3 linked regions of the Macaca mulatta genome follow. The main gene of each other region encodes a partner of the protein of the gene in region 3 in a complex. Links are inferred from orthologs where the notes say so. Each region holds a gene or a part of one and is shown on either strand. Other genes may lie near its edges.

The links. Proteins that work in one complex are often made in the same cells at the same time.
Region 1: ACAD9 (region 3) and TMEM186 share a complex: the UniProt entries of both Homo sapiens proteins name them as parts of the mitochondrial complex. The link is inferred for Macaca mulatta from reciprocal best matches to the Homo sapiens genes ACAD9 and TMEM186.
Region 2: ACAD9 (region 3) and TMEM126B share a complex: the UniProt entries of both Homo sapiens proteins name them as parts of the mitochondrial complex. The link is inferred for Macaca mulatta from reciprocal best matches to the Homo sapiens genes ACAD9 and TMEM126B.

Annotation. Positions count from the first base shown.
Region 1 is NC_133425.1:10,018,474-10,029,196, forward strand, and holds TMEM186 (transmembrane protein 186), read right to left. Parts: upstream 5,788-10,723; 5' UTR 5,763-5,787; coding exon 5,760-5,762; intron 4,734-5,759; coding exon 4,095-4,733; 3' UTR 3,328-4,094; downstream 1-3,327. Other genes in the region: PMM2 (phosphomannomutase 2), read left to right, coding at 6,031-6,096, 10,219-10,330. UniProt on the Homo sapiens protein: As part of the MCIA complex, required for efficient assembly of the mitochondrial complex I.
Region 2 is NC_133419.1:86,217,022-86,227,672, forward strand, and holds the start of TMEM126B (complex I assembly factor TMEM126B, mitochondrial), read left to right. Parts: upstream 1-4,864; 5' UTR 4,865-4,870; coding exon 4,871-4,951; intron 4,952-7,924; coding exon 7,925-8,046; intron 8,047-9,226; coding exon 9,227-9,420; intron 9,421-10,651. Other genes in the region: DLG2 (disks large homolog 2), read right to left, coding at 2,871-2,889. UniProt on the Homo sapiens protein: As part of the MCIA complex, involved in the assembly of the mitochondrial complex I. Participates in constructing the membrane arm of complex I.
Region 3 is NC_133407.1:155,070,392-155,080,523, forward strand, and holds part of ACAD9 (complex I assembly factor ACAD9, mitochondrial), read right to left. Parts: intron 7,728-10,132; coding exon 7,590-7,727; intron 5,680-7,589; coding exon 5,573-5,679; intron 4,548-5,572; coding exon 4,447-4,547; intron 2,946-4,446; coding exon 2,867-2,945; intron 1,323-2,866; coding exon 1,148-1,322; intron 1-1,147. UniProt on the Homo sapiens protein: As part of the MCIA complex, primarily participates in the assembly of the mitochondrial complex I and therefore plays a role in oxidative phosphorylation.

The DNA.
Region 1 (10,723 bases), on a different chromosome or scaffold from region 3:
CATGGGTGAGAATCTGTGGTCTCACCTCCCAGGACAAGCCCCTTGCAGACTTAACAGAGTGGTGATACTTCAAGGGCAGCGATGGTCAATCACGTTAGAATCACCCAGGGAACCGTGAAAATAAAAATGCCTGGTCATGGGCTTTGACAATGGGGTTTTAAAAACACTCTCCAGGAGATTCTACACATAAAGCCAGTGTTAAGAACCTATTCTTTGGGCAGAAAATTGGCCCAGGAACACAAAGTCCACAGAACCATGTGTCACTCTGGTGTCTTCTGTTCTAGTAGTCTATTTCAGAAATTCCCAGCCTGCCTGAAGCTCAGAATTGGCTTCAAGCCGGTCAAAAAGACAGATCCTGGGGACCCACCCCAGACATAATCAGAATATCCCGGGGTGAAGTTCACTCAGGTCATTACTTACAACCCAACAAAGAGAGAATTTTTGGTTTTAATGAGGTTAAGGTCAAATCATTATGACTTCTTAAGACATTTTTTAGCCACAGGCTTTATGTCTTCATGGGGAAGGGAGTCACAATCACTGAAGAACTGATAGGCAGGTGAAGGCAAGGTACAGAAGGAATGAATAGCCACGTGTAACTGCTATGCACATTTCTCTTCTATATAATTGAATATTCACTACACTTCTTGAGCATAAATAGTGAAACTCCGTTATACAGAGAGGACACTGAAGGGGAGGCGGTTAGTTCTCTTTGCAGGTATCTAGGGAGAAAGCCTTCCAGGCAGAGGAAACTGTCAATGCAAAGGCCTTAAGGCTGGAATATTCTTGATGACTGGAGAAGAGCAAGGCCATCGTGACCTGGGGGAATGATCTCCACAGAGTTGCGGATGAGGGAGGAAAGGGGAGGGTGGATTAGGCCATCAGCCTTCACAGCAGAGTGATGTGATTCTGTTTTTAAGCATCACTTTGACAGCTGCGAAAATGGACTCCAGTAAAGCAAGGATGGAAGCACAGGATAGAAGCATCGAAGTGAAGGGCCGGGCACGGTGGCTCATACCTGTAATCCCAGCACTTTAGGAGGCCGAGGTAGGTGGATCCCTTGAGTTCAGGAGTTCGGGACCAGACTGGCCAACATGGCAAAACCAAGTCTCTACTAAAAAGAGAAAAATTAGCTGGGTGTGGTGGTGGGTGTCTGTAATCCCAGCTACTCGGGAGGCTGACGCAGGAGAATCGCTTGAACCTGAGAGGCGGAGTCTGCAGTAAGCCAAGATCGCACCACTGCAACCCAGCCTAGGTGACAGAGCGAGACTCCATCTCAAATTAAAAAAAAAAAAGGAAAAATAACCACTGTTGACAAGAATGTTGAGAAACAGGAACCCTTGTCCATTGCTGGTGAGCGTATAAAATGGTACAGCCGCTGTGGAAAAGTGGCAGGTCCTCAAAAATAAACAGAATTACCACAGGATCCAGTAAATCCACTTCTCAGTACGTACCCAAAACAACTGAAAGCAGGGACTCGAACAGATACTTGTATACCAGTGTTCATAGCAATAGCCAAATGTTCATTCATTAACAGTCAAAAGGTGACGACAACTCAAACGTCCAACAGATGAATGGACAAACAAAATGTGGTATATACAGACAATATACACTGCACCCATAAATGTATTTAACCATAAAAAAGAAATAGCACTGACACGTGCTACAACATGGATGCACCTTGAAAACACTACACCAAGTCAAAGAAGCCAGATACAGGCCAGCTGTGCTGGCTCACGCCTATAATCCCAGCACTGTGGGAGGCCGAGGTGGGTGGGATCACTTGAGGTCAGGAATTTGAGACCAGCCTGGCCAACATGGTGAAACCCCCATCTCTACTAAAAATACAAAAATTAGCCAGGCGTGGTGTCAGGCACTTATAATCCCAGCTACTTGGGAGGCTGAGGCAGGAGAATCATTTGAACCGGGGAGGCGGAGGTTGCAGTGAGCAGAGATTGCGCCACCGCTCTCGAGTCTGGGAAACATAGGGAGATTCCATCTCCAAAAAAAGGCCAGATACAAAAGGTCACATATTATATGATTCCATTTATATGAAATATCCAGAATAGGCGGATCCAGAGGGACAGAAAGCAGATTAGTGGTGGCCAAGGGCTGGAAAAAGAAGGAAATTATTGTTCAATAGGTATCTTAGTTCTATTTGGGTTAATGACAACATTCTGGAAATGGATGGTGGTGACGGTTGTACAACATGTTCTGTTCTGTTTGTTTTTGAGATAGTCTTGCTCTGTCGCCCAGGCTGGAATGCAGTGGCGTGATCTCAGCTCACTGCAACCTCTGCCTCCCGGGTTCAAGCTTCTCTAGTCGCTGGGAATACAAGTGCCCACCACCATGCCCAGGTAATTTTTGTACTTTTAGTAGAGACAGGGTTTCGCCATGTTGGCCAGACTGGTCTTGAACTCTTGACTTCAAGTGATCCACACGCCTCAGCCTCCCAAAGTGCTGGCATTACAGGCGTGAGGCACTGCGCCCAGCCTGTACGACACTGTTAATATACTTAATGTCCCTGAATTACACTCTTAAATATGAGTAAAAGGATAAATTTTAGGTGTATCTTGGTACGGTTAAGAAAAATGGAAGGCGTGGCTCCAAGAAAAAGAGGAAATTCTCCAAAGAGGAGCCAGTCAGCAGTGGGCCTGAAGAGGCAGCTGGCAAGAGCAGCTCCAAGAAGAAGAAAAAGTTCCATAAAGCATCCCAGGAAGATTAGAATGCAAATGGACATTCTCTGGGAGGTGGGACACACCATAGCCCAAGGTGACATCTTCCACCCTGTGCCCTGTTCCCCAATAAAAACAAATTCACAAAAAAAAAAAAAGAAAGAAAAATGGAAGGCTACACAATAAAACATTATTATTTTTTGTTTTGTTTTGTTTTGAGAGGGAGTCTCGCTCTGTCGCCCAGGATGGAGTGCAGTGGCGCGATCTCGGCTCATTGCAAGCTCCGCCTCCCAGGTTCATGCCATTCTCCGGCCTCAGCCTCCCGAGTAGCTGGGACTACAGGTGCCTGCCACTACACTCGGCTAATTTTTTTTTGTATTTTTTAGTGGAGACGGGGTTTCACCATTAGCCAGGATGGTCTCGATCTCCTGACCTCGTGATCCACCCGCCTCAGCCTCCCAAAGTGCTGGGATTACAGGTGTGAGCCACCGCGCCCGGCAATAAAACATTCTTATTGACTTTCGAGTGGCAAAATAATAAAGATCATGCCTTCCTTCCTCTTTACTGTGTTACAAATTGCATAATGAACATGTATTATTAATTATGCAGGGCAATGCATATAACTGGCTTTAGTTTATAAAAGAACGTACCAGCATACGGTCCATTAGGCTTTATTACACTGCAGGGCCATCCAAAGCAAGAGCCTCTAGATCTCAGCGTGGTGAACAAATCTCAAATGGGGTTTCGTGCTCACTTGGACGACATCGCTGCTCATCGATGTGTAGTTAACATCCTGGCAGACCTTTCTGCTGCTGGATGTGTGAGGGGCACAGCACAGGGCTCTGGAAGTCCCTGCTGACTGCTCGAAGCCTTTCTCCATGCCAAAACCTCTGACCAAATGCTTAATGCTATCTGCTCTAGGCTGCTGAGTCTGCCACACGTTTGACATTTATTCCCACATCCATCCCACGAAACAAGCAGGGCTTTCCATTTTACAGATGTGAAAACCAAGGTTCAAAGAGACTCAATAACCCACCCCAGGACAAGTGACAGAACTGAGACTTCTGACTCCAAATCCTATGCTCCCCCACCACACCTCTTTGCCTTTCAATTTCACACCAATGGACTGTCTGGGTGACCCTGGCATAGGTTCTTCTAAGAACTGGCTCTTAACAAAAACTTCTGGCCGTTATCTGACTGAATGTCACACACGAGTGCTGTAAGAACTTGCTTAGAGCCTTTTTCCTAAACCTGGACACCAGCTCTTGCCTTGTGAATTTCTTCATCACAAAACACATGTTCCCAGGGGCCCAGGCAAAGTCTCCAAGTACCCAATCCCCTTTCTTCAGCTGTGCCCACACCCTCAGCCTTCCTGTCAATCCAGGTGACCCAGGGTTACCCAGAGGTCCAGGCCCCAGTTGTTTACTTGAACATCTGATGTCTCCCAAACACCTGCGTGAAACGCTCTCTGTCCAGGATGTGTCCATAGCGCAGGGTGACGTAGAAGGTCTGTTTCCCGCTGTACCGCTGGATACGCATGAACATCTCCTGAGGCTGGTCCTTGGTTTCTGTCAGGGGAATCACATCTGCCAGGGGACAGTATGTGTCCTGCCGCCAGCCCCAGAAGCTCAGATGGGCCACCCGCAGCATGGTGCCAGACTCATTCAGATACAGGATACCAACCAGTCTCCGAAAGAAATAGCTCATCCAGCACAGCATGGTCAGGGCAAAGCCCGATATCCCACTCATCAGGCACACGGTGTTGAGAGTCAGGAGGCCCTGGGAATACCAGTAACAGGCTGGTGGCAAAACTACCACTGTCAGGGCAGTCTGTGCCAACTTCAGTCGAGACAGGAACCCAAAGATTCTGATGGCATCAAAACGGTAAAACATCCAGAATTTCTCAGTCTCTTGGTTTGGTGGTTTCTCCTTCGAGGTGGGTGACCTGCTCCCCACCCACCTCTTAGGATCCTCCTGCCCACTGCAGCACCACAACCCATGGAGAGGCCTTTCCCACGCAGCTTTTCCCCGAAATCTAGGCACAACTCGGAGAAGGGCAGCCTGAAAGGGAGACAGTAGACGATTTCTCTCATGGAATTCAACCACATTAATCACACGGTGAACATCTGCAAAGCACCATACTCCAAGGCTTCTGCCAATCCTGCAAGGTCACCATTATTGCCAGAGGAGGGAAGGGTAAAGCCAGATGTTATCTCATGTGGGCATCACAACAGCTATCTAAGATAGTTATCACTATTTCCACTTTACCACTAGGGAAACTAAGCCCAGAGAGGGTAAGATATTTACCAAAGAACACACAGTCAGTGAGTGCAGCAGAGTCCTCCTTCCATCAGGCAATTCCAAAGAAATACAAGAAAGGAGGTGCGGCCATCAATAATTCAAAACATATCTAGGGAGTCCCAACTCTGGGCTGGACAATGGATCCACAAGGGGGTGTGAACATTTCCCCAAGCAGGAAACTGAATAATCAATGTCTTAGTGGGGAACTCAAGCAACAAATCTGTGAGATAGTTATCCCAACAAACTTTCTAATTCTGTTTACGTTATCTTGGGTGCTGGAGGGAACTGCTGCTTTCCCTTAACCTAGTCAGGGGAAGGGGAAACAACGAGGAGGAGGAGGAGCGAGGCAGGGAGGCCCCTACACGTAGCACAAACATATTATTAGGTGGGTAGTGAAGCAGTAAAAGCTCTGGTTCCAATTCTGGCTCCATCAGTCACTACCTGTGGATTCTTGAGCAAATCACTCCACACCCCTGAGCTTCGGTTTCTTCGGCTTTCAAAATGGGGACTCAGAACACAGTGAACGAGAAGATGGTTTCAAAGCCCTCAACTTAGTACCTGATGCGCTGTGAGAGCTCGGCGAGTTTTAGCTATTACTACTGTGAGCACGTGACGCAAGGAGGGCAGAGAAAGCCCGGGAATGGCGAATGGTAACCCACGCCAGAGCTTCCTCCCACGGATTCTTCAGGTCCGAAACTCAGGCGTCGTGCCTGCCTGCCCCAGCTCTGACCCCGACCGACCCCCAAAGAGCATCACCCCCTCAAGGATCGCCACCAGCCTCCTTACCATGGCTCCACAGCCTGCTGCCGGAAGTAAGTCCCACCGGCCCCCGGAACCTCTAAGAGCGCATGCTCGAATGTACAAGGCGGGCGTGATCCGCGTTGCACCCTGGGATTTGCGGTCCAGGAATCGTGGCTGGCGCTAGTCCCAGGCGTTGTGGGAACGGAGTCTCCTCCTCTTCCCGACGTGCCCTGCGGCTCGGGGGCCGAACTCGGAAGTTCCGGGCCGAGTTCCTGATGCCAATGAGTCTTGCGAGGTGCGGTTAGACGCTGGGGACATGGCAGCTCCTGGCCCAGCGCTCTGCCTCTTCGACGTGGATGGGACCCTCACCGCCCCGCGGCAGGTAAGTGGCGCCCGGCGGGCTGGTGGCAGCCGACTCAGAGTCCGTGCTGTTCCCAGTTGGAGCTATCGACTACCCAGGGTCGGCGCCAAGGGCTGGCTAAGGACCGCCTGCGTCCTCACGGGGGCTGGACCCTATTCTAGGTGCCCTGGAGGGATGAGAGGGAGGCCCTAACCAGCTCTTCAAGAGCTCTGATGCTTGGAAAGATGAGACGGGGCTGAAGAACTCTTAAGAGAAGGAAACTTATGCTTGGTTGGAAAATGCAATCTGGACTCACCGCTAGTCCTCGGGACCGATGGACCAGGATTTGAACCCGACATCAGCTGTGTGCCCCTTATCAGCTGTTTGCCGGCCTCAATCCTGTAACCAATGGGCTGTGCCGTGAGTCATTATATTAAAAACAGGTTTCCAGGTGAAATCGACCTAGTGGAGTCTCATCTTCACCTCTTCACAGCTGTGTGACCTTGAGCAAGTCATTAACCTTTCTGAGCCTCAGCATCTACAGCTTTAAATGGGGATATTACGTGTTCCATATGGTGACTGTGAGGATCAAATGAGATTGTGTAAGTTCTTGAAAGTATGTTGCACACAGCACACTAGGCCTCAGTAAATAGTAACCACCTCCACCACACCCATCTCCAGCCCCTGCAGTGGACTAGGAAGATGGAGGAGCCCTAGGTTATTACAGGCTGCCCGCTGAGAGCCTCTTTGGGCCTTTCGAAACTTGCTTTCCACTTCCAGATTTTGCTGCTACAGGCACAGATAAGTTTCAGTCACTATCAGCCTTGAGATGAGGCTTTCCTGTCCCCTTTTCAGAAATTGGCCACTGACAACCGGCCATTTCAACTTGAGAGTGGACCCCAATGGTCTCACTATCCTCAACTAATATCCTCACCCCTCGTAGTCTTCGCTTGGTGGTAACAATGGTGTGCTCCAGAAAGCCACGTGAAATGCGTGTGACCTTAGACGTATCATTTTGCCCTTGTCAGCCACAGGTTTGATCTACCTAGTGATGACACTCAACTCCCAAGTTCTTCAAAGGCTTTTTCTGATTCTGAAATTCAGCTATCACACACTTGGGGTTGTTAAAAGCCCATAGTGGTCTAATACTCCGGTCCCCAATTCATTTTTTGTAAAGGGCCATATAGCATATACTTTTGTCTTTGCAGACCATATGGTCTATAGTAGCCACTGAACTTTAGTACAAAACCAGCCATAAACCCTATGTAAACACAGAGTGGCTGTGTACCGGTAAAACTGTATTTATTTGTTACAGAAACAAACAGCTGCCCAGTGTGGTCTGTGGGCCATAGCGGTCTAGGGTTTACATTGCCAACCCTTTTTCATGATTTCGCTGGACCCTCTCAACCTTCCTTCATCTTTCTTTCCAGGTAGGATAGTTGTTATTACCTTTTTAAACATAAGGAAACACACTCAGTGAAGAACTAACCTCCTCAGTTTCACACAGCCGACCTGGTACAAGCCCCTGAGCCTCAGGACATTGGTTCCTGTCAAGTTTGCCATTTCCTATCTGTGCTAAGGTGGAAGCTGTCCTAGTTACTAGGTATGCCATTCAGGAAAGTGCTTCTGATCTGATTTTCACAGTTCTGACTCTTCTTTTTTTTTTTTTTTTTTTTGAGACAGAGTCTCACTCTGTCGCCAGGCTAGAGTGTAGTGGTGCAATCTCAGTTCACTGCAACCTCCGCCTCCCAGGTTCAAGCGATTCTCCTGCCTCAGGCACCTGAGTAGCTGGGACTTAAGGCGCCCGCCACCACGCCTGGCTAATTTTTGTATTTTCAGTAGAGACAGGGTTTCACCATGTTGGCCAGGATGGTCTCCATCTCCGGACTTTGTGATCCACCTGCCTCAGCCTCCCAAAGTTCCGGGATTACAGGCATGAGCCACTGCGTTCTGACTCTTAAGGGCCACTCCTGCAGTTCTAGATTTTGTCTAATAGGTTCAAATTCCACTGTGAGAGTAGAAAAGATTGCACTCTATTACAAGCCCTTCTATGCAGTTTTATTTTAATCAGATTCATGTGTTACTCTAAAAAAATTTTTTAAAGAAAAATCATTGAACTCCAAGTGTTTATATACTGACGGTGAATTAAATGGTTTTTTGTATTTTCTAAATTTCTAGTAACTTTTTAAAAAAGATATTCAGGGCCAGGCGCGGTGGCTCACGCCTGTAATCCCAGCACTTTGGAAGGCCGCGGGCGGATCACGAGGTCAGGAGATCGAGACCATCCTGGCTCATGCTGTGAAACCCCGTCTCTACTAAAAATACAAAAAATTAGCCTGTAGTCCCAGCTACACGGGATGCTGAGGCAGGAGAATGACGTGAAACCGGGGGGCGGAGCTTGCAGTGAGTGGAGATGGCGACACTGCACTCCAGCCTGGGAGACACAGCGAGACTCTGTCTCAAAAAAAAGACATTCAGCCGGGCGCGGTAGCTAACGCCTATAATCCCAGCACTTTGGGAGGCTGAGGCGGGCGGATCACTTGAGGTCAGGAGTTCGAGACCAGCCTGGCCAACATGGTGAAACCCTGTCTCTAATAAAAATACAAAAAATTAGCTGAGCGTGATGGCGGGCGCCTGTAGTCCTGGTTACCTGGGAGACTGAGACAGGAGAATCGCTTGAACCCAGGAAATGGAGGTTGCAGTGAGCCAAGACCACACCACTGCACTCCAGCCTGGGCGACAGAGCGCAACTTCGTGTCACAAAAAAAAAATAGACATTCAGTGTAAATGTTCAACTAAGATTGCTCAAAGTACTGAGTTATAAGACTTGTAAAAATACATTGTGATGTGTCTTGATGTAGGGCTGTTTTTCATCTTAGTTTATAACTTTTTAAAAATTATCACACAGTTTGGAATTTACCATAAAGTCATACCACTAAGACCACTCTTTCTAGATAGGAGCTTTGCTTTTAGAAGAGACTAAAAAATCTAGTCATCTTACTCTTTTCCAATTTTTTTTGTTTTGAGTAATTGCAATAAATCAGTTCTAAGCTTCTCCTATTTATTTATTTATTTATTTATTTATTTATCAAGACGAAGTCTCGCTCTATCACCCAGGCTGGAGTGCAGGGGCACGATCTCGGCTCACTGCAGCCTGCGCCTGCCAGGTTCAAGTGATTCTCCTGCATCAACCTCCCGAGTACCTGGGACTACAGGCGCGTGCCACCACACCCGGCTAATTTTTGTATTTTTAGTAGAGATGGGGTTTCGCCATGTGGGCCAGGCTGGTCTCGAACTCTGACCTCAGGTGATCCACCGGCCTCGGTCTCCCAAAGTGCTGGGATTACAGGCGTGAGCCGCCATGCCTGGCCCTGAGCTTCCTCTTTAATTTCATTATGTTATTTTGTTTTAAAATCAACAACTTAAATCCATAGATGGAGTATAGTGTAGCATTTAAAAGGAATACATCATGCTGAAAAAGCGAAGTTGCTGAGAAAGCGAAGTTGCTGCAAAGGACATAGAATGATTCCATTTATGTTTCAAAAATAAGACCTATTTGTATATGTGCCCATAGATGGGTATATAAATGCGTAAAAAATTAGCTAGCACAGTGCACAACAGCTACTAACATATTACCTGTGTTTAAAATGTGGTAAAAATAACACTTAAGTTTATTCTGGTAAAGATGCCTCCCTCCCAATTACAACTAAAATATTTGAACTGTGTAGAGAGCTGGTAACTTAATTGGCATGTATGAAAATAAGGCTTATAGGCCTGGCTTATGCCTGTAATGTCAGCACTTTAGGAGACCAAGGCTGGTGGATCTCCTGAACCCAGGAGTTCCAGACTGGCCTCAAAACTTCGTCTCTACAGAATATAAAAAAATTAGCCAGGTGTGCTGGCGCATAACTGTGGTTCCATCTACTCAGGAGGCTGAGGTAGGAGGATAACCAGAGCCCTGGTCGAGGTCGAGGCTGCGGTGAGCTATGACCATGCCACTGCACTCCAGCTTGGGTGACAAGTGAGACCCTATGTCAAAAACAATTTTTTTCTTTAATTTTTAAACAAGAAAATAAGATTTGTGTACTTGTGTTACCCTTAGAGTTTTAGTCTCCTGATTATTTTTTGGCTTATGAGTGTTGTATTTTCCTTCTTGAAATTTAGAAAATTACCAAAGAAATGGATGACTTCCTGCAAAAATTGAGGCAGAAGATCAAAATCGGAGTGGTAGGCGGTTCGGACTTTGAGAAAGTGCAGGAGCAACTGGGAAATGATGGTAAATGAGAGGTTGCTAATTACATCTAGTAAAAGATTAACTTCTTATGAGGATATTATTGCCAAGTATCATAGGCTGCCCTAAAACCTTATCCCCATATGGCAGACTTTCTGCTTCCTTGTTTGGGAAACATTTTCTTGGCCCTTATTTTTCCTCTGCTTTTAATCCAGTAAATTTCTGGAGTTACTGATGGAGAACTGGGTACTCAGATGTGTGAGTAGATTCACCTAGAAAGGTCAGTGGCTGTGTCTTTGGACATAGTAATCTCTCTGCCTGGAATACTTCTTGCTTGTACCCGTTCACTGCCCTTCTAGCCCCAGTCAGGCTGGTCTTCAAATTGTCCCTCTGACAGCCCCCCTCACCTCCCCATCACTGGAACAGAATCTCCAGCAC
Region 2 (10,651 bases), on a different chromosome or scaffold from region 3:
CAAAAAGGAAGCTGCATTGTACTAGAAAATTCTGTTAAAGCACATTTTTATCCTTAAAACAGCAACTTTCTGCTGTAAAACACAAGAAATGACATAACTATCATTAACTTTTATTTCTTACATTAACCCAGTAGGAAATCATATCAGATCAATTCAAGAAGACTTGTTAAAACAGACCCTTATAACACACTATGGTCTTGCATCATATCAGAGAATACTAATACAACTTATCCTGAATTGGTCCTAAATTTTCACAAATTAAAATATGTTCAAGATTGTCCCAAGGGCTCACCTGGGAGCAAATCCAGTTACTACTATAGATAAGAGAATCTTGAATGAAAAGCAACTGTTGAGGAAAAAAAAAATATCCAACAGGGAAACAGAAGAGCCTTCTGTTGATAAAACTGAGATCTGTAAAAATGCGAAGAGACTAGAGTGAGAGAAGTAGAAAGTAATGTCATAAAGCAAACGAGCAGTTAACATGGGGTTTGAGGAACAGTAGTTTCAGTTTATCCAAGAGCAGTCCAGAATGGCACCTAGAAATGGGCTTAGTGAGATGTCACACCCATTCCCAATTCCCACCATGGTTGCATGGTATCAATAAAAGAATCTCCTCTCTCTTTGACAACAATATACTAAATAAATACCAAATGAAAATCCATCTTATGAAAATTTCACACTTTAATGAGAATATGTTCAACAATGAATAAACACTTAGCTCAGTGGGGATAGTTATTATTTAGAATCACATTAAGTCTAGCTCTTTCATCATGTCTACCACATGAAACAATGAAGAGAGAAAAAGACTCAAGGTGACAGAGGACAGTGATCCCTGCAGAATAAATCTAGGTTAAACTTAAAAATACTGTTCTTATATTAGGTAAACAGTAGAGATAGTAAGCATAGCCAATGAAAAATATAACACACACATTATAACTTGTTTGGCTAGTTGTCTACAATATTCAAGAATATGTATCATAATACTAACAGTTTTAAGAGATTAAAAGCAAGATACATTGTTTCTCTAGATCAGTTTATAAGGAAAACTATATAACATATACTTTGGTATCATAGAAATATACATTTGTTTTTCTAATTAGAACTTGTTGATTCCTTTAAAAATTCAATCTGTCAGTCAATTTATCGAAGATAGAAAGAAGAAAGGGAAGGGAGGCAAAGGAAGAGAGAAAGAAGTAGGCAAAGGAGGAGAGGAATACTTCTAAAGTATTATAATTTCAGCAATGTATCAGCAATTTCTGTAACAGTTTTTTAAAAGGAAGAACTTTTAAGAAACTCAGTTTATGGGGTTTAGAAACATTAAGTCCTAAACTTTCTAACTAAACCTGCTTAGTTAAGTTATATCTAGAATATCAACTGAGCTTCCTCCTCCTCCTTCCTATATACCGTTTATCTCTTTCTCTCTCTCTCCCTCTTCCCATTCTGTCTCCCTCTCACTCTTTTCCTCTCTCTCTCACACACACACACACACACATATGTGTTTAATTCCATTATTAGTTCAAAATAAGGTAATCCAAAAGAAACTGTCTAGAGAAATGGTAGAAAGAATAAAAACACACATCAACTTAAATATGTCAAAGAGCCATATCGTTTATTGGCTACACTCCCAAAACCATTCTTGTTCTCGATAAACCAATTGTGTCTGGTCTGGACAGGTGTGGCTCCAAAATCTCATAGAGAGTTTACTTCTGTCAGTGGTAATTATTAGAAACAGCAGGGGGAGGAAACAATCTCAATCTTAAATCCCAGTGTGCAGAAATCACAGTTCTAGGTAAATATCAGCTTGGATAAAAATTATAATCACTGAGGCATCTCAGTGATTATAATTTTCCTCAACATCCCTAACAAATCCACAGGTAGAAGAATTAAACACCATGCAGAGATAAGTTCCACTTTAACCTGCAATTCACCCAGAGCTTTAGTTTCAGACTGTAGCAACTCACGTAACTGGACAACATTTGGATCTACCTTAGTCCAGTATAGCAGAGTTCAAGGATGTCATATAAATTTTGATTCAAAACTCTTGAGAAACTCTTTACAGCTGATCTCACCTGCCATATCATGTCAAAACAAAACAAAACAAAACAAAAACAATCCCAAACTAAGATCCTTTGGAACAATGTTAACCTGGGCTGCATCTAAGCTAAACTGAATCCCCAAGTTCGGATTATAATCAACTATGCTTCAGTAATTCACTAGATCTTGATCAATTCCAATAATAAAAGTTGTTGAGGAGGGAGAAAAAAACAGGAGTTTGCCCCATATGGGGAACTTGACAATCATGTTATTGGATAATGCATATATCTGGAAAAGCACAATAGTCATGAAAGTTGTGCTTTATCACAAAAGTGAAGATTTACACTAGAATAAATCCAAATAAGAAATTATTTTTAACCAAAAGATAAATTATAAAGCTATAATTTTGTTCAGTGCAAATGAAATTACTTTGCTACCTTTCACAACTCTGTAATTAGCTTGATAAATATTAAACCCATGAGGAAGAGCTCCACTGTACAAGTTTTTTTAAAGACCGCTTAAAAGCAACCTTTAACAAGCTAAGAAAACAAGCTAGAGAAGATTCCAAATCTGCGGTACTGAATCTATTCTTATTACCAATGGTGATATAAACAACCTGATGTATGAAATCGTAAATATCTATCAATAAATACTATAGTCTTACTTCCTTTTACTTTAGCAAGATATTACTGAATTATGTACCACTGAAACTATATTACAATAAAAATTTCCCCCAAACTGAAGCAAAATTTTACTCTCAAATGGAATATAGTTTAAATTACAAGTACCAGAACCAACAAAAGGCAGAAATATTATATAGCAACCTCATAGCCCACCTTTCTTCTTGACTGGCATTCTTAGGTCTTTCCACTGCCACAGAATTCAAGATCTCTTTTCAGGTCTCAGTTTGATCCAGCTGGTTTGAGGCCAAGAGCCAGGTAACTGTTGCAAACCACTTCACTGCTCAGTTTTGAAATCCAGGCTGAGTCTTCTATGTCAGATAAAGAAAGTAATGATGTACTTTTTCCACAACTAAACTTTTTACACCGCCCACAGAGTTTACAGAAACGTAATTTTTTAGTTTTTCAAGTTTTTCAATGTTCAGAAAATATTTAGACTGTTTTTACAAACTGGGAAAATTATTGTAAACATGAAGAACGTTACTGAAATTCCTCTTCAGGCAGCAACATTTTTGGAAGTTCAATGACTAACTCATTTAAGGCACAAACCAAATTTAGACAGCTGTCTCATTACTTTATACATGGTCAAACTGAAACATGATGAAAAAGATCCTCAAATATGTAGAGAAAAATTTAACCCCACCTCCCAAAAAATACTTTTAAAAACCTCTTTGACTCCAGTCTCTAAAAAGATAGGTGAGTTTGAACAGTTTTCTGTGGCAGAACACACACCGAAAGGCCCCCTTCTATTTACTGATCAGAAGTTCCGGATCTCACCCCCTCAGTAACTCAGAATCCAGCTTGCTGTCACTTTCATTTTTTTCTTCTGTGCTCTCCAAGCCCCCAGGCTTGATCCTTAATGCACCTCTGATTCTGATCCTCCCATGTATTAACAGAGAGGATTGAAAAAAAAGGAAAGCAATCCCTTGGCATGGAGACATTAAAGTGACAGTGCTACTCAATGGGCACTTGATGCAGGATGAGTTGGCGAAGCAGATTTCTTCACACTGGAGTCATTCACATCATGCCATCTCTTCGCATCCAAGCAGCTCCCTATCCGGCGAGGAAAAACACTGAGACTTCGAGAGAAGCCAAACCTTCCCCCAAAGGTGTTTTCAGAGACGCCGTAGTAGTATTAGACATGTAAGCATAAGCTATGCAAACGGTCCGCGATTTCCTCAAAATGAAAAAGTGCAGCTGCTTGGCTTTCACATCCACATCCTTTTCTCTCAATCTCTCTTCAAACTACCCACCTTCCTTTTGCAGAAAAGACAAGACATTTCTCTGCCACCGCTGGCCACCCCTGCCCAAGCCCCGTTCTTTTAGGGAAGAGCACTGAAATGTCCTGCACCCTCCACGCGATGAAGTGTTTCTTCAGGCAGGAGCAACAGCAGCACTAGAAATTATATAACTCTCGAATTTGGCTTCTCTAAGACATGGAGACTGGAGGGTCGGGGGTTGCCGGTCTGGGAGATACTGCTGGGCATTTAACGTGCACAAAACAGCGCCAGGCCTTGCAGTGCCCCCCACCCTGAGACACGACTGACAAGTGGGTCTTCTCGGGGGGTAGTGGGCAAATTTCTCTCCTGTCTCCTTCCAAGCGGGGCTAAAGGATGGAAATTGAGGGGACTACAGACTGGGGAGAGGAGTCAGACGGCTGAGAGGGGAGGAGGCTAGTCGGGGCTGCTCTGACGGCGCTGGGCGGCTGGTTGGGGGTTTGGAGGAGGAGGTGCCCGAGAAACAGAGCTTTAACACCACACGGGCCAGGGCAAAGGGGCGAGTTCCCTCAAGGACTGAAAGGGGCAGGCAGCTAGTTCCCAGCTACCAGAGGTGCCCTGAGGAGAGGCAGGAGCGCAGTAACATTCCAGCATTTGGGCCGCCCCATCCTCTCCGCAAGACGCGAGGAAAACAGGGAGCTAAACTGACAAATAGCAAGGGAAGGAAATACTCTGCTGGCGATGGGGGCGGACCCACAGGCACCTGGACCTCCTCTAAGCGAATAAGTGGCCCTAATTTCTAGACACCGCGCCCAATCACAGACAGGATGGAGGGCGCGGCTTTTGACTGAGGGGGGCGGGCCCGGGCTGCAAGCGAGAGGCATGAGCCGTAAACCCGCCCCACTTCCCGCCCACCAGCAAATCACGTGAGCCATCAAAATGGCGGTGTTCGGGTATGAGGCTGGGGCCAAGCTGAGGGATTCAGGTGTGGTGCCGGTGGTAACTGAGGAAGCGCCCAAGGTAGGCGGAAATCCGAAGTGGTATGGGGGGTGATTTCTGCAGCTTCAGAGTGTTGGCAGAGTCTTCCAAGATGATACACTTAAAGGAGATTTGAAAAGTTAAAACAGCCCCCAAGTCCATGCAAGGAGCAGTCGATTAAGTCTCCAGCTGTTGTGGAAAGAGGCGGAGAGAACGTAGATTACCTAAGTTCTAGTACTCATTATCTGCGGTTTGTTTTCTCTTGTCTCCAGGCCTTTGCACAGGCTTTTTCTTCAACTTGGAATATTTCCCTGCTTCTATCCGTCCCAACTCCCCTGCCAAATTGTTCTCTTTAGGATATTGGTTTAAATGTCACTTCCTCCGGGAAGCCTTCCCACGCCTCCTCTGGCTAGATTAAGTTTGCCTTTTCTTAGGTTGTTGGGTTTTTCGTTTATGTCACTCTCTCATTCTGTGTTTAAATTGCCAGCATTTTTGTTCTGAACTCCCACTACATTGTGGATTCCTGAGGATGGGATGACTGTATCTTGATTACTCGGAGGCCTGGCATATACCAGGTGCTCCCTAAATTATGAGAGAATACTGAATAAAATTCTAAAGTTGAAATTTATTATTAGGTGAAAAATGTATTATTAGGTGAAATAATACACATGAAAGCACTACAAAACCGTTAAATGATTTGCAAACTATAATCCACTCTTACTGGTATAAGCGTGGTGACTAGTTGAGTGGCCTTAAGAGGGGAGGGGTGTAATGAAAGCAGTCGATTCTTTGACAGTGCCTTGCAAAGCTTAAGCACTCAATAATATTTCCTGTGTTCTTTTCAGTATTTGCTATCCTGTAATCATAATCCTGGGTGTCTGCTTTCCCTATAGAGAGTTTAGGGTGTAGACTAGGTAGGAGATTAGTAGAAGATATTGCCTGGAAGTTTATTTTGTTTTTTGTTTTTGGTGGAAGGTGGAGGACTTCAGTGAATTGGATGAGAGCAAAACAAAAATTTATGTAAGGTTTATGGTTACTCATGTTATTGACATCTGCCATCTTAGTACAATAGATGGGTTAGGTATAGAATCTCCCTTAGATGTTACTATCCCTTATACTTTCCATTTGGGTGTCCAGGAGAGGAAAAAGATGTAAGTCTAGTCACTGAAAAATTGTAATTTGTAAAATATTTTACTTTTTTTTCCCCCTGCCCTCTCCAGAAATGTTACAGAAAAAGATTGAGTACAATTCTGCGATGATGCAGAGAAAGAAATTGGTCCATTATTACTCATTGTGTAATGCCATAAGAAGGTTCAAAGAAGCTCATAACTTACGTATGTTGATGCCAGGAGCCGTGTATAATCAACTGGCCCTTCTATAGTTAGGATTGGTACATACCGCTCATTCAGCAAATGAGTATTACGGTAATATTCAATATGTGTCCATTGACTACAGCATCAAAAGCACTCGGTGCTATTAAAATGCAGATTCTAGGCCTCATCCTACTCCTGCTGAATCCAGATATCTCAGGAGGGAGTTCATGAGACTGCATTTCAAATAAATACCCCATGTGATTCTTGTGCATGCTGAAGGTTGAGAACCACTGATTTATGAAGTATTTTGTGTATTCATTATGCTTTATCCCCTCTAATCCTCTTGTCTAGGACTCCTTAACCTTGAGATTTAGTATTTGCCTTCAATATAAACGTTAAAATTGAGATTAGTGTACATTTGTAAAGAGGCTATTTGGCTAATCTGGAGGAAAAAAAGTAAAAAGCAGTGAATTTAGCGGCAATAGACTTTCCACTTGGCTGCTGTAGTAGGTAAACATTTGCAACTACATGTTTGGATTTAACAAATGTTATTAAGACTTTTCACAGAAACTCTAGAGTCTTGCCCAGAGCAAAACATTCAGAAAGGATCCTGTCTGAGAGTGCAGGGTTTGTTTTCTTGTTGTTGTTGATTTGTTTTGTTTTTTAATCTCTCTAGTTTCTGTTAAGATGCTACTGGCCAAGTCTTCATGGTCCCTTGACATTGGCAGCTGTCTGTTCATCACACTTGGGACACAAGAACCTTCCAACCAAGGAGCCCAGTGCTGTGGGTCTCTGGGGCCCGGCGCGGTGGCTCACGCCTTTAATCCCAGCACTTTGGGAGGCCGAGGCAGGCAGATCACTTGAAGTCAGGAGTTCGAGACCAGCCTGGCTAACATAGTGAAACCCCGTCTCTAGTAAAAATACAAAAATTAGCCAGGTGTGGTGGCAGGTGTGGGTCTCTGCTATACTACATAATCATTTCTAGCAAAGGCTCTGCTTCCACCACAGGTGGTAATAGGGAACTGGTTATGTAATTTATGTACTTCAAAGTAGTAGCCACAATCTACTGCCTGTTCCCTTCCTGAAGCAGTGTCCCTCTTTCTGATTTTTCTCTCTCACTGTTCTCCAAGGCAATCCCTGCTCTCTCCTACCTCTCTAGGAAATGAAACACGATTTCCAAAATGAACTCAGTCTTTCATGAGAAACTGAGGATAGAGATGTCAATAAGCAGCCATTGTTTCCACCTCCCCACCTGAAGAGCTAGGAGGACAACTACAAAGGGCCTGACTGCCTTCTCAGAATGAGGAGAGAGGAAAACAGAAACAGTATCAGTATGTTATCCCTCTAAACTAAATCTTAAGCAAGCCAACCTTTCAGACCCTCAGTTTCTCATCTGTATAGAGATAATCATTATACTACCAATTTCTCAAGTTAGTGTGTGAATCAGAAAGCCAATGTCTGTGTGTTGTAGGATGTTTAGCAAGAAAATAAAAAATAATAACAAAAAGCCAATGTCTAACAGATAATAAGAGCTCAGTAAATGTTGATTGAATTATTAACAAAATATGTGAAAGCAGACAACACAGTACCTGGCACACTACTAAACTGTAAATGTTTTCAAATCTGAATCTGTAGAATTCTGTAAGGTTTTATGTAATATGAATATCATTAGCTATTATGGCTCTGGAATTTTTTTTTCCAGGATGTCAAGATGACAGCATCTATGCATGGTCAACCCAGTCCTTCTCTAGAAGATGCAAAACTCAGAAGACCAATGATCATAGAAATCATAGAAAAAAATTTTGACTATCTTAGAAAAGAAATGTAAGAGAAATACCCAGGCTGAAAATCATTTTATTTGCAAGTCTTTTGTATTGCCATTGTTTCTGAGATCCTATTCTTTGTTATCCTATTCTTTGAGTTGGTTATGAAGAACACATCCTTAAAAAAAAGAATGAGGGAAACAAGAACAGATGAAAATAGTGGTTTGTTGGAATATTTGGGATTGTGGATAATTTCTTTTGTTTCTTAAAAAGTATCCAAAAGTATTGCTAAAACATTTGTGCAGTAAATATATTTTAATTAAAAGTAAGAGAAAATCATTGGGGGGGTACTTATATTTAATTGGTGAGTAATTATAATCAGTTAAGGATTGATTATCTCAGCCACAGTACTTAGTACAGCAAAAGGGAATACAGATTTCATAGTATAAATACAGTCTCACATTAACATATTGACTTTTTTTTTTTTGAGATAAGAGTCTCACTCTGTCACCCAGGCTGGAGTGCAGTGGCACAATCTCGGCTCACTGTAATCTCCATCTCCCAGATTCAAGTGATTCTCCTGCCTCAGCCTCCCAAGTAGCTGAGATTACAGGCGTGTACCACCACACCCAGCTAATTTTTGTATTTTTAGTAGAGATGGTTTCACCATGTTGGCCAGACTGGCCATTTTGACGTTTAAATGAATGGAGTTCAAGAATAAGAAAACTAGATCAGATTTTTTTGGATGAAATTTTCTAAATCTTGGACAAATTATTTTAAATGTATCTGGGACTAATGCAGAAATAGAAGGCCTAACCAAATGTAAATAGCTTTTTTTTAGATGAACTTAAGCAAAGTAAATCTTTTAGTTGCAGGAAAGGTATTCTTCGATTTGGGTAACTCATAAAATTTGGCTACATTGGAGCATATTTATATTTATTTGTGACCAAAATTATTTAAAAGAGCTCTATTTTAGAACTACTGTAAATATTCTCAGAAAGAGAATCATGTCCTCTCATTGGAATACAAGTTCTATGAGGGGTGGGAAATTTCTTTCCTTTTCTTTTTTTCTTTTGCCTTGTTTACTGCCCTATCTTAAGCACTTAGAAAATACTTTTCACATAGTAAGTGCTCAAGAAGTATTTCATATTGAGTAAATATGCAATAACAACTTTTTAGGAAAGGCTGTATCCATTAAGTTCAATGTTACAGTGAACTGAATTTTTCTTTTTTTCTATTAGGACACCAAATATATATCAAACGACGTCATTTGGAACAACAGCTGGTTTCTCTGGAATATTCTCAAACTTTCTGTTCAGACGCTGCTTCAAGGTTAAACACGATGCTTTGAAAACATATGCATCATTGGCTACACTTCCATTTTTGTCTACTGTAGTTACTTACAAGCTTCTTGTAATTGATCCTTTGTATTCAGGTGAATTTAAATTCACTAATGTATAATGTAGTTTTGTCTAAGTAAAGTTACTGATTAACAGATGCTGTTGCTACTGCTAATAATAATTCTTTACATTTATATAGTGCTATACAGTTTACAAAGTCCCTTCATATACCTTGTCGTATTTAATCCCTGCAACAGTCCTCCTAATGAGGTAAATCGTATTTTTTTCTTTTTGTAGATAAGCAAGCAACCCAAACTGAGGCATGTTCAAGTACACTAATAAACAACATACTGGGAAAAGAATTGACTGTGGCATATAACAAACATCATTTCAGTATCCTACCTCCTGCCACTTAAGTTTTGTGACATTCAGCAAGTAATTTCATCTCTGAGCCTCCCTTGTCTTATCTATGAATTAGGACTAATAGTACTCACCTCACAGGATTTTGTGAGAATTAAAAGATACTGTAGGTTAAATGACTACCACAATATCTGTCATATTATGGGCTTTTAATGTTATTTCCTGCCCTTCACCTTACCTTGAGTTTCACAACTAGTAATTGATAGAGCCTCTATCCATCATTCATTCTTCAGGTCCCTGCTTAAGTATCTTTTCCCCAGGGAGACCTCTGATTCCCTCATTGTACATTAGGTGTCTAGATACATTCTCTATATAGTTTATCTTCAAAGTATTGTGTACACTTATAATTATTTAAATATTTATCTCATGTCTTTCATTACTGTAAACTGGCCAGAACATCAGAGATCAGGTGTCTTTTATATACCACTGTATTCCTAGCACCTAGCACATTCCTGATACATAGTAGATAATAAAAATGTATTAACCTAGAATCCAGGTCTGGTCTGCTAGTTTAGTATTCTGTCATTATAAAATTGCTTCTGGCTGGGCATGGTGGCTCATGCCTGTAATCCCAACACTTTGGGAGGCCAAGGCGGGCAGATCACTTGAGGTCAGGAATTCGAGACCAGTTTGGCCAACACAGTCTCTACTAAAAATAGAAAACCAGTTGGGTGTGGTGGTGCACGCCTATAATCCCAGCTACTTGGGAGACTGAGGCATGAGAATTGCTTGAACCCTGGAGGCAGAGGTTGCAGTGAGCCGAGATCATGCCAGTGTACTCTAGCCTGGGCAACACAGTGAGACTCTGTCTCTAAAAAATAAAATAGCTTCTACAACAACCACATATGTTAGAGGTAATTCTCTATGTGATAAAGTACAATAAAAACTTTTTTAAATGTGCTGCAT
Region 3 (10,132 bases):
TTTAGCAGAAGTTTAAGAATGAAAACAGTCAGGGATATAAAGAGCCAGAACAAGCAAAGTGAGGAAGAGAACAGCATTTCCTAAAGCCTTAGGGTAGACTGGGACCACTGGTCTCAATTCTTAACTCTAACACAATCACACCCCTGCAATCTAACGGTAGCACTCTCCCACTGTAAGGAGGGATGGACCTCCCTCCCTTTCCCTGCCTGCTAGGGCCATGTGACTTCCTGTGGCCACTAGAATGAGGCCAACATGAACAGAGGACTTAAATGTGCTTTCAGGGTCGGGTATGGTGGCTCATGTCTATAATCCCAGCATTTTGGGAGGCAGAGGCAGGAAGATCATTTGAACCCAGGAGTTCGAGACCAGCCTGGACAACACAGCAAGACCTCATCTCTATTAAAAAAAAAAAAAAAAAAAAAAAGGGGCCAGGTACAGTAACTCACATCTGTAATCCTAGCACTTTAGGAGACTGAGGCAGGTAGATTGCCTGAGCTCAGGAGTTCAAGACAAGTCTGGGCAACATGGTGAAACCCCATCTCTACAAAAAATACAAAAATTAGCCGGGTGTGGTGGTGCACGCCTGTAGTCCCAATTACTTGGGAGGCTGAGGCAGGAGAATAACTCGAACCCAGGAGGCAGAGGTTGCAGTGAGCTGAGATGACAGCACTGCATTCCAGTCTGGGTGACAGAGAGAGACTATGTCTCCCACGACAAAAAAAGTGCTTATATGGCTTGGCTTGGCCCCTTAGGTGCTTATGATCTGCTCTAAGAACAAGCCCCCAGATGGACCTGAACCCAACCCACATCCTGAAGCAGGCTGCCAGGCACTGCAGACTGAGACAACTAAAGGCTGAGGACTGTAAGCTGAGCTCTAAGGTGGTAAGGTGGTCTGTCTGTTAGGGCAGCTACAGCAGGGGATGACCAGCAGGTCTTCAAGTGAGCAGCACTCAGCTGTGGGTACAAAGACAAAGCCCATGTGGCATTCTTAGTTTGATCTTTTTAAAATGCTTAACAAAAACTGAAAGTATTTAAATCTCATTTTATCTTGCTATTTGGACAGAGTCAAGGGCCAGTCTCCCCCTTACACACATACACACACACACGCGCACACACACACACACACACGCACACACGAGCTACTTACTGTTGGAGCCCCGAATGCCTAATTTATCTTCAGGTTTCCCATTAGTGACTCCACCAAAGTCTCTTTCTACTATGAATGCTGTGATTTTGTCTTTCACTGATCCATCAGAATCAACTACCTCAGTCTTTGCAAACACAGTAAAAATATTGGCCAGTCCTCCATTGGTAATCCAGACCTGAGGACAGAAAGAAGGACTTTGGAGAAAACCAAACCCCTATGTGACCCATCTCAGCTCTGTCTTTGTTGATCAGTCAGACCTCAGGCCAGACATGCAGGGTCCTTGGCTCTGCAGAAGCCAAACAAGCATGAGTGAACACAGGACAGGGCTCAGCCCAGTTTGCCCACACCAAGGATTTTCCCAAGGGACATGGATGGCCAGGGTGGAGGTGGAGGGGGGAAAGAACATCCAAAGTTGTCAAACAGCTCAGGTTCCACCGCCAGACAACTGCATTTCTTCAAGAAAGAAAGGGTTTAATCATTTCTTAAGGTATACATATATCAAAACATCATGTTGCACATCTAAATACACACAACATTTATTTGTTAATTCTAAAAAGAAATGAAAAAAGAGAAGGCAGGAGGGTGGTGAGGAGGAGGAAAGGAAACAAAGGGAGTTAGAGGCAGAAACAGACTCCTTAACAAACCGCAACAGATGGGACTCATGTGGATCTTAATTCAAGCACATAGTTAAACCAAAAAAAGGTATGAGGCAATCAGGGATATTTGAATGCTGATAGATGTAAGAAATTATCAGCTGGGCACAGTCGCTCATGCCTGTAATCCCAGCACTTTGGGAGGTCGAGGTGGGCAGATAGCTGGAGCCCCAGAGTTTGAGACCAACCTGGGCAACATGGTGAAAATCCATCTCTACCAAAAAAAATACAAAAAAAATTAGCTGCATGCCTGTACTCCCAGCTGCTTGGGAGGCTGAGGTAGGAGAATCACCTTAGCCCAGGAAGTTGAGGCTGCAGTAAGCCAAGATTGTGCCACTGCACTCCAGCCTGGGTGACAGAGCAGGACCCCATCTCAAAAGAAAAGAGAAATTATCAATTTTTAAAATGTGATAAGGATATTACAGCTTTGTTTTTATTTAAAAAAACAAACAAAACTCCTGTCTTTTAGAGAGGCATGCTGTGATTGTTACCATGCGATCTGGAGGTAGCAATGCTGCTGGAAGAGGCACAGTGGCCATGAGCAGGTGACTGCCGGAGTTGGGGCCAGCCAGGCACACAGAACATGTCTGAAATTTTGTGTAACAAAAAATTTAAAGATTTTTCGGGTTTACAGGCCGGGCACGGTGGCTCATGCCTGTAAACCCAGCACTTTGGGAGGCCGAGGTGGGCGGATCACTTGAAGTCAGGAGTTCAAGATCTGCCTGGACAACATGGTGAAACTCCATCTCTACTAAAAATACAAAAATTAGCCAAGAATGGGTAAGCCCAGCTACCAAGGAGGCTGAGGCAGGAGAATCACTTGAACCTGGGAGGCAGAGATTTCAGTGAGCTGAGATCACACCACTGCACTCCAGCCTAGGTGACAGAGACTCCGTCTCAAATTTAAAAAACTAAAAAAAATCAAAAACAAACACATAAAAGCAGCTCAAGAAGGCAGTCAGTGCTACAGCAGCAGGTACAATCCCTGGTGTGTGGAGAGTGCTCACTCAGTGGCAGTGAAGGTCGTGACTGAGATCCTGACGTGGCCATGGGGAAGGAGCCCTACCTTGGAGCCATTGAGGATGTAGTGCTTCTTGTCTTCACTTAGCGTGGCTCTGCTCTGGACTGAGGCTGCATCGCTCCCACTGCAGATGCAGAAAGATGTGGTCAAGGGAGAATACTGGGAATATGAATGCTTTTGAGAGCCTGAAAATGGAGGTTCTAGTACTTTTAAGAGGTCAGCGAACTTTTAAAATGAAGGGTCAGATAACATATTCAGCTTTACAAGCTACAGGATGTCTGTCTCACCTCCTCAACTCTGCTGCTATTAATAGAACATGAGGCCGGGCATGGTGGTTCACGCCTGTAATCCCAGCACTTTGGGAGGCTGAGGCAGGTGGTTCACGAAGTCAAGAGATTGAGACCATCCTGGCCAACATGGTAAAACCCCATCTCAACTAAAAATACGAAAATTAGCTGGGTGTGGTGGTGCATGCCTGTAGTCCCAGCTACTCAGGAGGCTGAGGCAGGAGAATCGCTTGAAGCCAGGAGGCGGAGGCTGCAGTGAGCCGAGATCATATCACTGCACTCCAGCCTGGCAACAGAGCGAGACTACATCTCAAAAAAAAAAAAAAAAAAAAAACATGAACACAGCTGAAGACAATTTATAAAACAATGGGCATGTTCCAATAAAACTGGGCTGGGCATGGCGGTTCATGCCTGTAATCCCAGCACTTTGGGAGGCTTAGGTGGGTAGATCACTTGAAGTCAGGAGTTCGAGGCCAACCTGGCCAACATGGTGAAACCTCATCTCTACTAAAAATACAAAAATTAGCTGGGCATGGTGGCACATGCCTGTAATCCCAGCTACTCGGGAGGCTGAGGGAAGAGAATCACTTGAAGGCGGAGGTTGCAGTGAGATGAGATCGTGCCACTGCACTCCAGCCTGGGTGACACAGCAAGACCCTGTCTCAAAAACAAACAAACAAACAAAACTTATTTATAAAAAACAGGCAGGAGGCTGGATTTAGCCGACCTTTGCTTCAATACATCACGTAAAAAAGCGGCAGTGAAAACAACTTGGGCTTAGGTTTAAACATGGAAATGGGTGCTTGCAATGGGCTCATCTGAGGTCCTGTGAGGATGAGTTGTGGGCACCCCAGGAAGGATGGTTGTTCCCAGGTTCCCACGCACAGTGAAGCAGGATGGAGGATGGTCCAGGTGATGGACTTATCATTGGAGTCCCGAGTCCTGCTGCAGCCCTGCTCCATCCAGCAGATCACACAGCCTCAATGAACCTCAGCTCCTAATGTGTAAGCAGGAACAGTACCACCCATGCTACATATTCTGAAAGGTGCTTTGAAGCCTGAACGTTATTACTGTATTGTACGTCAAGGTGTGTTATAAACCACAAAAATTTATTTAGTAAGTGCTGTCAAGCATGGTATCTCACTTGCAAGTCTCACTGGGACAGAGAAATAAGGTCAAGGTAAGAGGAATGGCAAGAACCGTTGCTGAGTTGATTCTCTGCAAGATTTTGGAAAGAAGGAAAAGTCAGCTACTCAACAAAACCAACACCCCCTTGCCCCAGTGAGTCTTGGGCAATGTCACAGCTGCTGAGGGATAACATTTTGTGCAGGGACAGACCTGGCTGGCTCCGTGAGGCAGAAGGCTGCAATGTGCTCCCCGGACGCCAGTTTAGGCAAGTATTTGGCCTTCTGCTCCTCAGTGCCGGCCAAGATGATCCCCTAAACAGAACAGACACAGACTAATGTCAGCTGTGGGGAGAAAGGAGAGCATGAGGTGTGTTTGTGAAACATTTCCTTTCTGAGGCAAATATTTACTTCAGGCAAGAGAAGACAGCAAAAACTCAGAGCAAGCGGCCACAGGCAGAGCCCAGGGAGCCAGGCTGCTGAGGAGACTGTCAGGGGCCCATGTGCCAGTGCCGTGAGCCTCGGAGACCCACAGTGCTTTGCAGTCTGTGTCCAAAACTTTCATATCAGTTCCTTCATTTCCCAGACTGGTGGTCTTGGGCAAAGGATATCCCTTTCCAAAGAAACCCTCCTCCATCTTATCATCCACAAACTGGGCCACTCCCACCCACTGGCAGGGTGGTCTGGATGATGAAATGTGAAGACACAGGAGCACTGGAACCAAGCCTATCTTAAAGAAGGTGCTCAATGTCAGGGCTGTCCCACCTGCTGCCCTCCCAGTGCCACATAGACAGGCCCCCTCTTCATCAAACATCTGCATGAATGCATGTGCTCTCTGGGGTGGGGGAGCCGAGCATGGTGTGCATTCAGCTCTCTTTGATGTCAACATTAAGCAGAAATAATCTGAGTAATGAGATTGCCAGTAAGGGCAGTTAGCCCTGGGCCTGCCCTAAGGTGCTCAAGACCAGTGGGGGGAAGGCGGCTTGCATAAAGAGTGGGGGCACGCTTAGGCTGAGGGACGAGGGCTCAGGAGGGGAGACCACTTCCAGCCCAAGGCGAAGACAGCAGCACCCCACCTGGGCCTTGAAGGGTGGATCAAAGGCAATGGGGACAGGAGGCAGATTCAAAAGGAAGGGACATGCAACCCAAGGGCCACTACGCATGTGGGCAGTGTGTGGGGACTGAGCACCACGAGGTGTGGCCAGAGTGAGGGAACTGAAGGGCAGGACTGCACGTCAGATATCAGGCCCGATTCAGAGGGAGCAAGCCTCTGGCCTCTATGCCACCATGTGACTCCAGAAGACCTACAGAGAGCACCACAGAATCCCTAAACACCTGACCTTGAGGCCGATAGCCTGGTGCGCTGCCAGGGTCACAGTAATAGACCCATCCATGCTGATGATCTCCCCTAGTCGTGAGTACATGGTGTTGGAGAGGCCCAGGCCACCTAGGAGACATGGACCAGCGTCAATCACAGCCCAGCCCCAGATTCCTCCCATTAAGCCTTCATTGTTTTTTTTTTTTTTCTTCTGATTATAAAGTAATGCCAGATCACCATTTTTTTTAAAAAAAATCACAATACAGGCCGGGCATGGTGGTTCACACCTGTAATCCCAGTACTTTGGGAGGCTGAGGTGGGCAGATCACCTGAGGTCAAGAGTTTGAGACCAGCCTGGCCAACATGGAGAAACCCCGTCTCTACTAAAAATATAAAAATTAGCTGAGTGTGGTGGCGCGTGCCTGTGGTCCCAGCTACTCGGGAGGCTGAGGCATGAGAATCACTTGAAGTTGGGAGGCAGAGGTTGCAGTGAGCCAAGATCACACCACTGCACTCTAGCCTGGGCAACAGAGACTCCGTCTCAAAAAAAAAAAAATCACAATACAGAAAGGTACAAAGTAAACAAAAATCGAGGGCTGGGCACACTGGCTCATGCCTATAATCCCAGCACTTTGGGAGGCTGAGGTGGGAGAATTGCTTGGCTCCAAGAATTCAAAACTAGCCTGGGCAATGTAGCAGGACCCCAACTCAACAAAATTAAAAAAAGTCCCAGCTACTTGGGAGGCTTAGGTGGGAGGACTGTTTGAGCCCGAGGAGTTCAAGGCTACAGTGAGCTATGATCGTGCCACTGCACTACAGCCTGGATGACACAGTGAGACCCTGTCTCAAAAGACAAAAAAGAAAAAAAATGCGGCCGGGCACAGTGGCTCAGCCTGTAATCCCAGCACTTTGGGAGGCCGAGAAGGGCGGATCACGAGGTCAGGAGATCGAGACCAGCCTGGCTAACACGGTGAAATACTAAAAATACAAAAAACTAGCCGGGCGAGGTGGCGGGCGCCTGTAGTCCCAGCTATTTGGGAGGCTGAGGCAGGAGAATGGCGTAAACCTGGGAGGCAGAGCTTGTAGTGAGCTGAGATCCGGCCACTGCACTCCAGCCTGGGTGACAGAGCGAGACTGTGTCTCAAAAAAAAAAAAAAGAAAAAAAATGCTCACAATCGTGTGCCTCAGAAAGTGCATTTCTGTGTATATCCTTCTATCCACACTTTTCCTAGGCATACAAGCATATATAGATACATACTTTAAATATGAAGATATCTACACACACATCAAATCAATTAACACATAGCGAGGATCTTCCATCACAGCTGTAGGTCTTTATAAATGCAACAACTATAGTGTGTCCCACTGCCCAGTATCCAGAGGACTCCAGGACAAGGCTTCTCCACTGTGGCACTGTAACATTTTGGAATGTATTGTTTTCTGTTGTGGGGGTCTGTCCTGCGGATTGTCAGATGCTTAGCAGCATCCTTGGCCTTTATAACTTTATATCCAAAAGGCCTGAGGGTAAACACAAATGGCACATGTGTGTGGTCTATCCCTTTGAACCATTTTCTACCTCGCCTTCCACACACTGCTTGCCTGTCCCTTTAACCTCTGCAGAATTCAGGTGACCAACTCGAGAAAAAGCATAAGGGAGGCAAGTTGTAGTGACTGGCTAACTCTAATAAGGTAGAACCGTCACTTGGGAGCTAAAAACATCACTAGGATGCTCAAAGAATTACAGGGACAGTCCATAGCACAAAGGACGCTGCTCAAAGGTTCCCACTGGTCCAATCTCCCACCTTGATGTGCTTTGCACTCTACAGCCAGCCAGACCACATGCCTCATTCCTCTGTGCTAGGATGAAAAGCACAGGACCCGAGAGCACTTCCTCCCTACAGGTCCTTCAGTCAGTCCACCCCTACTATGTAGCCCATGACAGAAGGTGTCATCTATTCCAGCAACTAGACCTTTTATGGACAAATTCAGAGTGCTTTCTTAAGAGCTAAACTGGTTGGGTGCTTGTTTGCTTGACTTACCATATTCTTCGGGGACTTGCAGCCCAAAAAGGCCCAGGCTCTTCAATTTCTCCAAAGTTTCATCTGGGATTTTCCCTTCCTGGTCAATTTTTCGGGAGTCCACTGCCAAGAGGAAAATCTTGATTAAACAAATATAAGCTATGTTTCTACAAATATAAGTAAACAGGACAGTGGTTTATATATTGATAATATATAATCCCAGAATAAAAATTTTTTCAAAACTAGAAATTCTGTAGTCATGGTCATTTGGCCTGTGTTCAATTTTATGTAATTAGCCCAGGAAAAATTTTATTTTTATATATTTATTTAGAAACAGGGTCTCACTCTGATACCCAGGCTGAAGTGCTGTGGCACAATCATAGCTTATATAACCTCAATCTCCCAGGCTCAAGTGAGCCTCCTGCCTCAGCCTCATAAGAAGCTGGGACTACAGGTACATACCACCACACCCAGCTAATTATTTTTTTTTTTTAGTAGAAACAAGGTCTTGCTATGTTACCCAGGCTCGTCTTGAACTCCTGAACTCAAGCAATCTTCCTACCACAGCTTCACAAAGTGCTGGGATCATAGGTGTGAGCCACCACGCCTGGCCAGAATTAAACTGTTAAAAGCTGTCAGAGCTAGGTGGTGTTCTATTTGTTGATCTGGGTGCTAGTCACAGGAGTGCTTTTGCTGTGTAAAACAGCAGCAAATTATACATTCATGGCATGTAAATTTTTCTATAGGCATGTTAAACTTCATTTTTTCCCTCCTCCTTCTAGACCTCATACTTTTTTTGGCTAGTATATTCTAGGAAATGAGAGAATAAATATGCAACTCTCAGAATTATACTAAAATGTTCAGCTAGATAGCCACCTCATGGCAGTATCTGGGCCAAGATTTACCTCACTGTCAGAGGCCATACTGCTTTCAGCACAATCCACCAGTTCTGAGACAGTTTAGCCTGTTTAACACCAATTCATTTATTCATTCAACATTCACATTCAGCCTGCACTCTCAGCTACTTGGGAGGCTCAGGTGGAAGGATCACTCGACCTGGGAGGTTGAGTAAGCTATGATGGCACCACTGCACTCCAGCCTGAGCGACAGAGTGAGATCTCGTCTCTAAAATAAAAATTCACATTCACTGCAGCAAAACTGAACAATCAATAGCATTAGGCCTATAATTGCACACTTTTGTATGCATCAAGCCAATTAAAGTGTACTTCTGAATTGCTAATTAAACTTCATCAGTATTGAAAACAGTATGGTGAAAAACACCATAACCTACACTTAAGAATTTTTGCATACATGGGTCACTAAGACAACTACAGATTCCCAAAAGTGCAGGCCAAACCCTTCATTTTTTTATCCTTTAACAACTTTATTGACATATATAATTGGCGAAGAATAACCTGCACATATTTACAATATATAATTTGTTGAGTTCTGGCATATTTGTCAGTGAAAACATCACAATTGAGAAGAAAACATTTCCTTTTCCACCAAAAGTCTCTATGCCCCTTTGAGAACGATCCATCTGTCCACCATCCCCAGGCAACCACAAATCTTTTGTCTATAGATCAGCTTGCATCTTCAAGTTTTATATAAATGAATCCATATGGTACCTATCTGTTTACCCCGGCTTCTTTAACTCAGGTCATGATTTAGAGATTCATCCATGTTTTTTCATGTATAAATACTTCATTACTTTTTGTTGCTCAGTATTCACTGTATGGGTGTACAACTGTTTATCTAAATTCAGTAAGCAGTATAAACACACAGAGCCAGAAGTTCAAAGAACTCCAAGCAAAATAAGTGTGCAAAAAACTACATAAATAAATGTGATAATCAATTTTCCTAAAACCACTGAAAAGCAGCCAGAGATGAAAGAAACACTATGTACAAAGGAACAAAGATAAGAATGGAAGCAGACATCTCTTCTGAAGCAATATGAAGTCAGGAAGAAAGCAGAGCAACACCATTAATTGCCTGAAAGGTAAATCCTGTCAACACAGAAACCTGTTCTGATGAAACAGACTTTTATTTTACTTTTTCTTTCCTTTTTTTTTTTTTGAGATGGAGTCTCGCTCTGTCACTCAGGCTGGAGTACAGTGGTGCGATCTCAGCTCACTGCAACCTCTGCCCGCCAGGTTCAAGTGATTCTCCTGCCTCAGCCTCCAGAGTAGCTGGGATTACAGGTGCATGCCACCACATCTGGCTAATTTTTGTATTTTTGGTAGAGACGGGATTTTCCCTGTTGGCCAGACTGGTCTCAAACTCCTGACCTCAGGCGATCCGCCCACCTCGGCTTCCCTAAGTGCTGGCATTACGGGCATGAGCCACTATGCCCAGCTGAAACAGACTTTTCTAGACATACAAAAGGTGAGAATATGCATCCCCTGCAGAGCTACACATCACGAAAAGTGAAAGGAAGTCTTTCCCACAGAAGAGCAACGGTAGCAAAAGTTCAAAGAACTCCAAGCAAAATAAATGTGCAAAAAACTACATAAATAAATGTGATAATCAGTTTTCCTAACACCACTGAAACGCAGCCAGAGATG